Linked DNA regions of Arabidopsis thaliana. The protein of the gene in region 1 interacts with the protein of each later gene in a pairwise test. Each region holds a gene or a part of one and is shown on either strand. Other genes may lie near its edges.

The links.
Region 2: the proteins of AT1G08280 (region 1) and AT3G61500 interact in a protein complementation assay, tested with the Arabidopsis thaliana proteins (one large-scale study listed by BioGRID).

Annotation. Positions count from the first base shown.
Region 1 is NC_003070.9:2,605,712-2,610,589, reverse strand, and holds AT1G08280 (Glycosyltransferase family 29 (sialyltransferase) family protein), read right to left. Parts: upstream 2,714-4,878; 5' UTR 2,183-2,713; coding exon 986-2,182; 3' UTR 619-985; downstream 1-618. Other genes in the region: AT1G08270 (vacuolar protein sorting-associated protein), read left to right, coding at 3,253-3,613, 3,705-3,742; TIL1 (DNA polymerase epsilon catalytic subunit), read right to left, coding at 3,698-4,067, 4,405-4,511, 4,801-4,878. UniProt on the Arabidopsis thaliana protein: Galactosyltransferase involved in the biosynthesis of type II arabinogalactan. Possesses galactosyltransferase (GalT) activity in vitro, transferring galactose from UDP-galactose to a mixture of various oligosaccharides derived from arabinogalactan proteins.
Region 2 is NC_003074.8:22,759,876-22,764,133, reverse strand, and holds AT3G61500 (BPS1-like protein), read left to right. Parts: upstream 1-1,745; coding exon 1,746-2,270; intron 2,271-2,350; coding exon 2,351-2,453; intron 2,454-2,559; coding exon 2,560-2,737; intron 2,738-3,361; coding exon 3,362-3,506; downstream 3,507-4,258. Other genes in the region: ACS1 (ACC synthase 1), read left to right, coding at 1-639; AT3G61490 (Pectin lyase-like superfamily protein), read right to left, coding at 3,997-4,258.

The DNA.
Region 1 (4,878 bases):
GTCTACCAAAGAATTTCTATCTTGAAAAGGTAGAAATTCTTTGTTAGACTCGAAATCAAAATATATAAAGTTACCACATAAAATGAAGCAACATTTTAAAATTTAGATCTTTTTCCTTTGGATACGGTTACGATTAAGTCTACATGAAACCCGGTGTCATCTGTCTGTTTTTATTTTATTTTGCTTTAGTTTGAGACATAGATTTGAGTATTTGTGTGTTACGTAATATGCATGTGATATTAGGGTTCTTGGTTTGGTAGGGGATTTTTGCTACTAAATAAGTAACCTTAAGAAAAAAAGGAGGTTTAATTATGCTCACTAACAAAAACTTCTCTTTGTCCGAGGGATGTATTTGTCGGAGAGCATTTTGTGGCTCGAGTAAACCCCTATTTATCTTAGTGATTAGTAGTAAGTATGATTTCAATCTTAATTAGGGTTTTCTTCTTAATAAAGATGGTTTCTCTCTTTAAAATTTTGTGAAGCACGTGAATTTTCTGTTTCTCTCATGTATTTGTATTAGAAGAGAAAATTGGTGTGCTTCACTTCATTATTGTACGATAATCCTCAATTAAAGACTCTTCCTATTATATTGTCTCTCTTTTCATTACATATAATAGCTTTCGATCTTCTTGTTGTTACAAGGATTCACGCTTTTGTGTTTTGCATGAATAAACGTACTACTCAAACGTATTAAACTTGCGTGTGGGATTAACTTTTTCGATCGACACGTCAATCTGAATGATTTTGGTTTATATTGATGTGAGAATATCGTCCAAATATACCATATATATATTTCAATATGTGTGACAACACAAATCTAAAAATTGTAAAGAGTACTCTTACCATTGGGAAAGTGTTGCATCTTCACTGCCCAATCTGAAGCAAAATCTTTGGGACTTGGACAAAACGACACTCTTGCCAACAAGCTTCTTCGCTTGAACAACAATAACTACATGACAAAACTCTTGATGGTATATATGTATATTCAATGGTAAACTTGTACCAAAGGGATCTTGAATTCTTTTGGTAAGAATGGAATGGCCCTGGGACTGTTTTCCAGGTCTCGATACAATCTATACTCTGCTTCATAGTCATGAAGCTTCAGCTCTGCTTTCTGATTAGTATGGTAATGGTGCTTGGTTGAATTCAACTTCCCAAACCCGAAGACACTAACTTTCTCACAAATCCCCACTGCAAGCATCACAGCCTGCATACCCGACGAATAGTGAAACAACGAGCCTTCATGATCTTTACTCCAATCGACAAACCCTTTCGCTTTCTTCTCTTCCAAGAACTTCTTCACCGAGTAATACTTCACGATTCTAGCACACATGACATCGAACCTCGGATCCGTGATAAGCAGAGGAGCTCGATGAGATGGTTTACACAAAGTGTAATCCAAAACATGAATCGGTTGGCAAATGTACATCACAATAGGCACTGTTTCACCATAAGGATGACAATAGCAACTCTCCCTTCTCCCACATTGATGCAAAATGTTACTATTTATGAAAGATATATTTGTTTTCGATCCAACCTTCTTCTCAAACCTCTCTGTTTTCGCATTGTTCAACCGAATCACAATCTCATGCTTATCAATGAGATCTCCGTATTGACTATTTAGCAATGTACCACTATTCCCAACCACTGCACAAGATAAGTATCTTTCACTCGAAATCGAAACAACACCATTGTGAACATCAATCGGATTCTTAACTAATCTGATCAAATCTAACATGATATTAGGTTCATAAGCTCTTCTACGAGCCCAAAGCCGTAAATTTCTTTTGAACTCTGACCAGTAACGATAAGCCTGAGAAGAACGAAGCGTTACCGGAAACTTGGAGGAGGAAGCAATGTCTCTACTCACACGGCGTTGTTGCTCGCTTGGTCTTATTGACATGGAGCTGAAATGTCGACGGTGGCTTCTCCGAGTGTGGTCGTAATCGGAAATCAAATCGACTTCCTGTTTGAAGTTAGGTTCTCCGGGATCAATGGCGGCGAACTCGAGCAATGTCTCGTTGAATACAATATCTTCAGTCATGAGACCGGAGGAACCAAGCTCAGCGATGGCGGAAGCGAAGGAGAAGCTGCTCCGACGAATCGCCACTCTGCAGATGAGTGTAGCGGCGAAGAAGGCGAAGAGAAGAGCACTGAAGAGAGGTCTAACGGATCGTTTCATCGACGCCGCCGTGATAGATGAGAAAGAAAGAAAGTCGGAAGCTTTTAAACCCCCAATAATTGACGGCGCGGGTCGGATTTTGAAGTCGGATCCATTAACGGGTCTAATGGTAAAGGAGAGAACTTTGAGAAATCTGTATTCAAAATCTTCACAGGAGCTTTAGAAAACTCATGATTCTAAATTAGCAAGGAAGTTAAAACATAAAAAAATGTAAAATTGAAGTCAAAAAGAAGGAGACGACATTGACATTGTTGGTTTCTTGGTTAGGGAAAGAAAGTTTTCAAATGAAGTTAAAGGAAGGTGGTGAGTGAGAGAGATATGGGGAGGTCCTTAAATGGAGGAGATCTGAAGAAAGACGAAAGATCCAATTCAATAAACTAATCATTCTTTACTTCTCTCTCTCTCTTTCTTTTTCTGGAGGTGCAAGCCATGATCTTAATTGCGCTATAGAAAGAAAGATTAAAGAAGAAAGAGTGGGTTCATAAATCATATACAAAGAGGTTATTTTGGGAAACCATTATCTGGTTCGGGTATTACTCTCTCTAGCCGTACGTAGAGAGACTTGTCAATTAGGTTCTATGTCTGCGTCTTTTGCCTAACCCTATTGGAGTCGTTGGACACACAAAATTTAAGCCCATTAAATGAACCTTTTAAACCCATTTTTGGTCCGGTATTAAAACCAGCGAGTATTCTCCTTGTCATTCATCAAAACAGTTAGAAACTCAGACGCCTGGACGTCTTTGTGTTCTACACACAAACACTCTGTTGTTTCTATTTTCAAACGTCAAAAAAAAATCAAAATTTTCCTTTCTCTCTGTTAGCCTCACCGACTTCAAAACTCTCTGCTTTCCCTTAAATTTCTGATCATGGATCAACCACGCTTCTCCTAGGGTTTCTTTAATCATCTGATTTTTTTCGATAAATTATTCAATTTTATGATTGAAGGAATTTATTTCTATAAACCCTAAAAAAAATATGTACAGTAATTTCAAAGAACAAGCGATCGAGTACGTTAGACAAGCGGTAAAGAGGACAATGCTGGTAACTACAACAAAGCTTTTCCTTTGTACATGAACGCGCTTGAATACTTCAAAATCTATCTCAAATATGAGAAGAACCCTAGGATCAGAGATGCCATCACCGACAAGTTCTACGAGTATCTCCGTCGTGCTGAGGAAATTCGTGCGGTATTAGTTGAAGTTGGATCGGGGAAAGGATCGAATGGCGACGCAGCGGTTGCTACGAAGCCTAAGACTAAGCCCAAAGACGGAGGAGATGGAGAAGAATCAAAGCTTCGAGCTGGGTTAAACTCTGCTATTATAAGGGAAAAGCCTAACGTTAAGTGGACAGTTGTTGCTGGGCTTGAAAGTGCCAAACAAGCTTTAAAGGAAGCTGTGATTTTGCCTGTGAATTTTCCACAGTTCTTCACCGGTAAATATTTGAGAGCTTGAAAAAGGTTGTAAACCTATGCACAAATCAATTAACCTATAAACGATGTCTTTCTCTATTGTTTTGTTAATAGCTAGGGCCATATATGATCCAAGAGATGTATTCTTCTAACAGTCTAAACTTCTGGCGCTTTGCTATATCCATGAATATCTCCATCCTCTTGCTGAACTCTGACCCACTCTCCTTGCATCTAAAGGAACCAGAACACTCACACTGCTCTGTCAAATGAGCCGCTTTCACCTGATTGCACCTAATGCACACTACATCCTGCATATGGTACATTCTTTCTCTCTGTCTCACCATCTCTAGAAGGCTACTCTCCATCTGCTCTCTGTCATATATCTTCCCACATTGTGTATCCGCACATGACCATTCTTTCTCTGTTAACAGTGCTGGGTCTCTGCATATATCTAGGTCTCTGTAGGCATCACAGTTGCTGCAACAAGAAAAACAGTACAATCAAAACTCAGTGTATACATTTCCAGCTGTCTTACTGCTTACTACTGCAAAAAAGTCAAGTATTTATTGTCTAGGATTTAGGGGTCTAAGTTTTCTTTTCTTTAGTGTTGCAAGTTTGATATTGCTGTGTAGATTTGATGTGATGATCACCACAAGGGTGAACCAGGATGTCTCTAAAGGAGGGGATTCGCAGGGATTTATGTTTGTGGCCAAAAGACAACTCGATTTCGGAAAACAATTTCTCTATTACTAGACGTAGCCAATCACAAGAATGCTTATTTAAATCACGAGCATTTGTTTTGGTCAAATAATACCTGCAAGCTACATTAGGTAAGATGAAGGATGGCCCAGGATCAAGAAATTCGGCTTCAGCAGCACACTCTTTTACTTTAATGTACTTCAACAGACTCTTTCTCATTACCTATAGAAAAGAGATTAAATCAGCAAGATTGTAGGTCTAGAGGACAAAAATTGAGAAGACTATCGTTAAAACCCATTCAAAAAAAAATCCAGCTCTATTGGTAAACATGGTTTCAAGAACCACATTTCCAGAGATAAGATTGGATTTGTGAATGAAATCAGTTATAAAGAGGGTTTTTAACTGTAAAGATAAACAACGCTTCAGTGGACTTTTCATATTCAAGATTAATCTATTCAGAAGACTTGTGAATACGCCATATGTTAAAATGAAAAAGAATGGGAGTAATTACCAGAACATCTTGCTGGACGTTTTGGTCAAGAGCCAGAACAGCAGAGATAACCTGTATAAATTCCAACGAGTAATCTCC
Region 2 (4,258 bases), on another chromosome or scaffold:
CTTCCCGGTTTCCGGGTTGGAGTGGTTTACTCTTACAACGATGTTGTTGTGTCCTGCGCAAGGAGGATGTCGAGTTTTGGATTGGTCTCGTCGCAGACACAAAGTTTTCTAGCTGCTATGTTGTCTGATCAGAGTTTTGTCGATAACTTTCTTGTTGAGGTTTCGAAAAGAGTAGCGAAGAGACACCATATGTTCACGGAAGGGCTTGAAGAGATGGGGATTTCTTGCTTGAGAAGCAACGCGGGTTTATTCGTTTTGATGGATTTGAGGCATATGCTTAAGGATCAGACATTTGATTCCGAAATGGCGCTTTGGCGAGTTATTATCAATAAGGTCAAGATTAATGTCTCTCCTGGCTCGTCGTTTCACTGCTCTGAGCCTGGTTGGTTCCGAGTCTGCTTTGCTAATATGGACGAAGACACACTCCAAATTGCACTTGAACGAATCAAAGACTTTGTGGTTGGAGACAGAGCCAACAAGAACAAGAACTGTAACTGCATTTGCAACAACAAAAGGGAGAACAAGAAACGTAAGAGTTTTCAAAAGAATCTCAAGCTGAGTTTATCTTCGATGAGGTACGAGGAACATGTTAGGTCACCAAAGTTGATGTCTCCTCATTCACCATTGCTTCGAGCTTAAAATTTGTTATGATTATACTCAAATAGATTGCGTATATATCAATATAACAAAATAATTTGTATAAATTAAATAGATTGTGTATATTTCAATATAACAAATATATTACATGATTCAATAAACAGGTTCAAATTGAAACTAGAGAAACTATCTAACTATCAAATATAAAAAAATTCCAAACAAGGATGAAGTTTAAATGTTGCATATGTTTTGCTCGTTTTTTTTTGTTGCTTATTTTCAATCAAAATTTACAAAATTGAAATATTACTTTGGACTTCTGATATCTTTGGATTGATCATGTGTAAATGCCAAAATTTAAATTGTTTTAATTTTAGTTAATTACAAATGATAAATTTTAAAAACATGTCAAAACCTAATCAGAAAGATCTGATTAGTTTTTTTTTTCCTCTGATTTTTGTTTTACTAGATATAAAGATTGTCATTTGTCAATCACATAAATATAAAGATACTCTTTTATTAGGCCAAATTAGAATATAAATATAAATATTATGATTTGCTTCTTTTTCTTATGTTGTGTTAACTTAAATTTGTACCATTTATCAAATAAAAAAATATTATCTTTGTTTTAAAAAGAAAGTATCTCTTATTGCTAGAAAATTTTAAAAATGTAAATTTGAATTATATTTTTAGGCCAAATTTTTAATTATCTTTATATGTCATATAAATAATATTTATTAACTTTAGATTAATGATTTTGTCCCAAAATATCCATATATTAATGAATAAATCCAGATGTGATTATTGATCAAATAACTACTGTAGGCAGAAGAAGATTTGCCAAAATTATGTCTTCCCTAATTTATATCAATCACATCACGGGATACTTATATATTTATTACGATGTCCTCTCTCAATAATACAGTAATACCTATATAAAAAAAAAAAACTTGTGGTACATTTCTCGTCTACCTACATCGATACATTTTGTTGTGATTTCTTGACTTCGGAAGGTATAGTTCTCGTTCATTATTGAACTGTGATTTTGCTTTCGAATTTTCTTGGACATCAATGTTCATATAAACGACAGTTTATCAAACAAATCGAAATTCTGATGACTTCTTTTTTTTATTTCTCAGAATCTTTTCAAGATGATCTCAAAACAAGGGATTACAGCGCAATGTTTCTTCCGGCCAAAGAAATTTTTCAGGATGTTGTTTCCAAAGAAAAATTTATTATTGAACAACTTTGAGTCATCATTAACCGAGAGATTGAAGAAACTCATACCTCAAAATACAGATGAGATTCTCACCTTACCTTGGATGATTCTAGCTATGGAATTACTTTATGATACACATAATGATATAAACATTCTCATCACTGATCTCAAGCTTCATTATATGACTGATTCGGAGCATGGATATTGGTTTGAGAATTACATGAACATAAATACAAAATTGCTCGATCTGTGTAACGCTTTTATGTCCTTGCTTCGTCACATGAACCATGGCATTGTTTGCTTAAAGTTCCTTAGGCATAAATTAGAAATGAAATCTGAGGATCTATGCACTGAGATTTGTTCCGCACTTGATAGTTGGAGGGAAAATATCACCGCGGAAATATCGAAATGCCGCGAAGTTCTTGGGAGATATGTTGAATCATTAAACTTTCATAAAGTCAAGAATTGTATAAAAGAAGCAAAGGTTCTTATGAAGGCGTTTTATGGGGCTAATGTTCTTACGGCTTATATCTGCAGTGTCTTTGTGATAGTTTTGTCGAATTCCGACAAAGATATTTTGCCTATATATGTCTGGAAGCAATCATTGTGGAAAAAAGATTTCTTGGATTTGCAGACTATCGTAAACGTCAAAACAAGAGTTAATATTTCCACTGATGGAACAATGGTACTCCAAGAGTTAGAATCTGTTGCTGCCAAAATGAAGAAGATGTATCTTACAATTCAAGAAGGTGATGATCTTGTTCAAGAGTCCTTTAAGGAATCTATTGAGGAATGCAAAGAAGAAGTCGAGAAACTGGAACATGGGTTAGATGAAATCTTCAGGAAAATTGGCAACTTGTCTGATGTAACCTTTAAAGGACGTGAAATCATTCGTGACGGTTTATTTGATTCAATGATTAGGGAGTTAACTCATGGACCATACATATATGATTAAATCTCATTTTTTCTTTATCTTTAGACAATGCCTCTAATACTATATGTATACATTAAATCCATTTGGAACTATTTTGAAACAAATAAATTGAACTCATGACCCTATATGATCTTCTTTTCGATTGTACAATATGACTTTGGATATATAAGATTTTCAATTTTACCCATTTTCTCTCAGTGTTGTAATCTCTTTATGTACTGAACAATAAAACCCTTCGTACTGGTACAGTGGTACATTAATAACTTAATAATGAACACTTACACTAGTATCTTCTGATCTCATTTTCAATGAATGGTAATATAGTTTTCTTCATTTTGTATTTATGTTCATATATATAATTCTCAAACCAATATTCCTGCTCCGAATTAGTCATATCATGAAGCTTGAGATCAGTGATGATAATGTTTATATCATTATGTGTATCATAACGTAATTCCATAGCAAGAATCATCCAAGGTAAGGTGAGAATCTCATCTTTATTTTGAGGTATGAGTTTCTTCAACCTCTCGGTTAATGATGAACACGAAGTGGAGGAGTTGAATCCAAAGCAAAAGGCCACAACGTGTTGACAATACTTATACTACTGCTTGCAGCAGAAGCTCACAAGATGTTACACCGCATCCAACTTCTGCTTGTAGCGGAAGGTCACGTCACGATAATAGAGGCAGTCGAAGGTTAGACGACATTGAAATGGTTTTGTTGCCAATAGGCGGTCTTCCAACTTCTGTGCGTAGCTGAAGTAAGTGCAACATTAACTCTTTTTTATTTTGGTTGATTTCATTGTTTTCGTTAGCAGAAAAACCAGAGCTTAGAGTGTTGGCTTAGCATTGATCTGTGTTTGCATCATAGATTGTACGTGTTTCTTCTTTCTGTTGCTGCCTTTGGACACAACACAGTCTTTAGAGACCCATTAAAATGAGATTTGATCAACTCTGTTGCAGGAAAAGGTTCAACATTTCCATTTTCCTCCATGACATGAGAAAGAGAGGCATATAGAACAATCCAAGAGAAAACTTCTAAAGAGTCTGGTCTGATTCAGTTTCTTTATGAACAAGTAATCATTGTCTCAGCTTCTCTGTTTCATCTCCCAATCTCACATGGATTTGTTCACTTTCTATCGATAACTTATACTTCTTCTCACAGATTGGTTAACCAAAATCACAGATAATCCCTGCAGAGAAATTTTCGTAAATATGAAATTAGGTCAAAGAAAAAGACTACAACTTTGCTAACTCATTTGATAACTACAAGTCTTAAGCTCAACATTATCAATCTCCAACACATCAGTAGGAAAATCACATCCACCGTCAATCATCTTCTTCTTCGTCGTCTCTGATTCTTGTCCATCAAGCAAATCACAAGGCTTAGGATCAACACCACTCGTAACTCCTTCAACATCACTACACATCCAAATCGCTTTCTTATGCTTAGCCGCCATAGAAATCGTTGCATTCGAAATACAAATCCCAGTAAAAGGATCTCCAGAGATT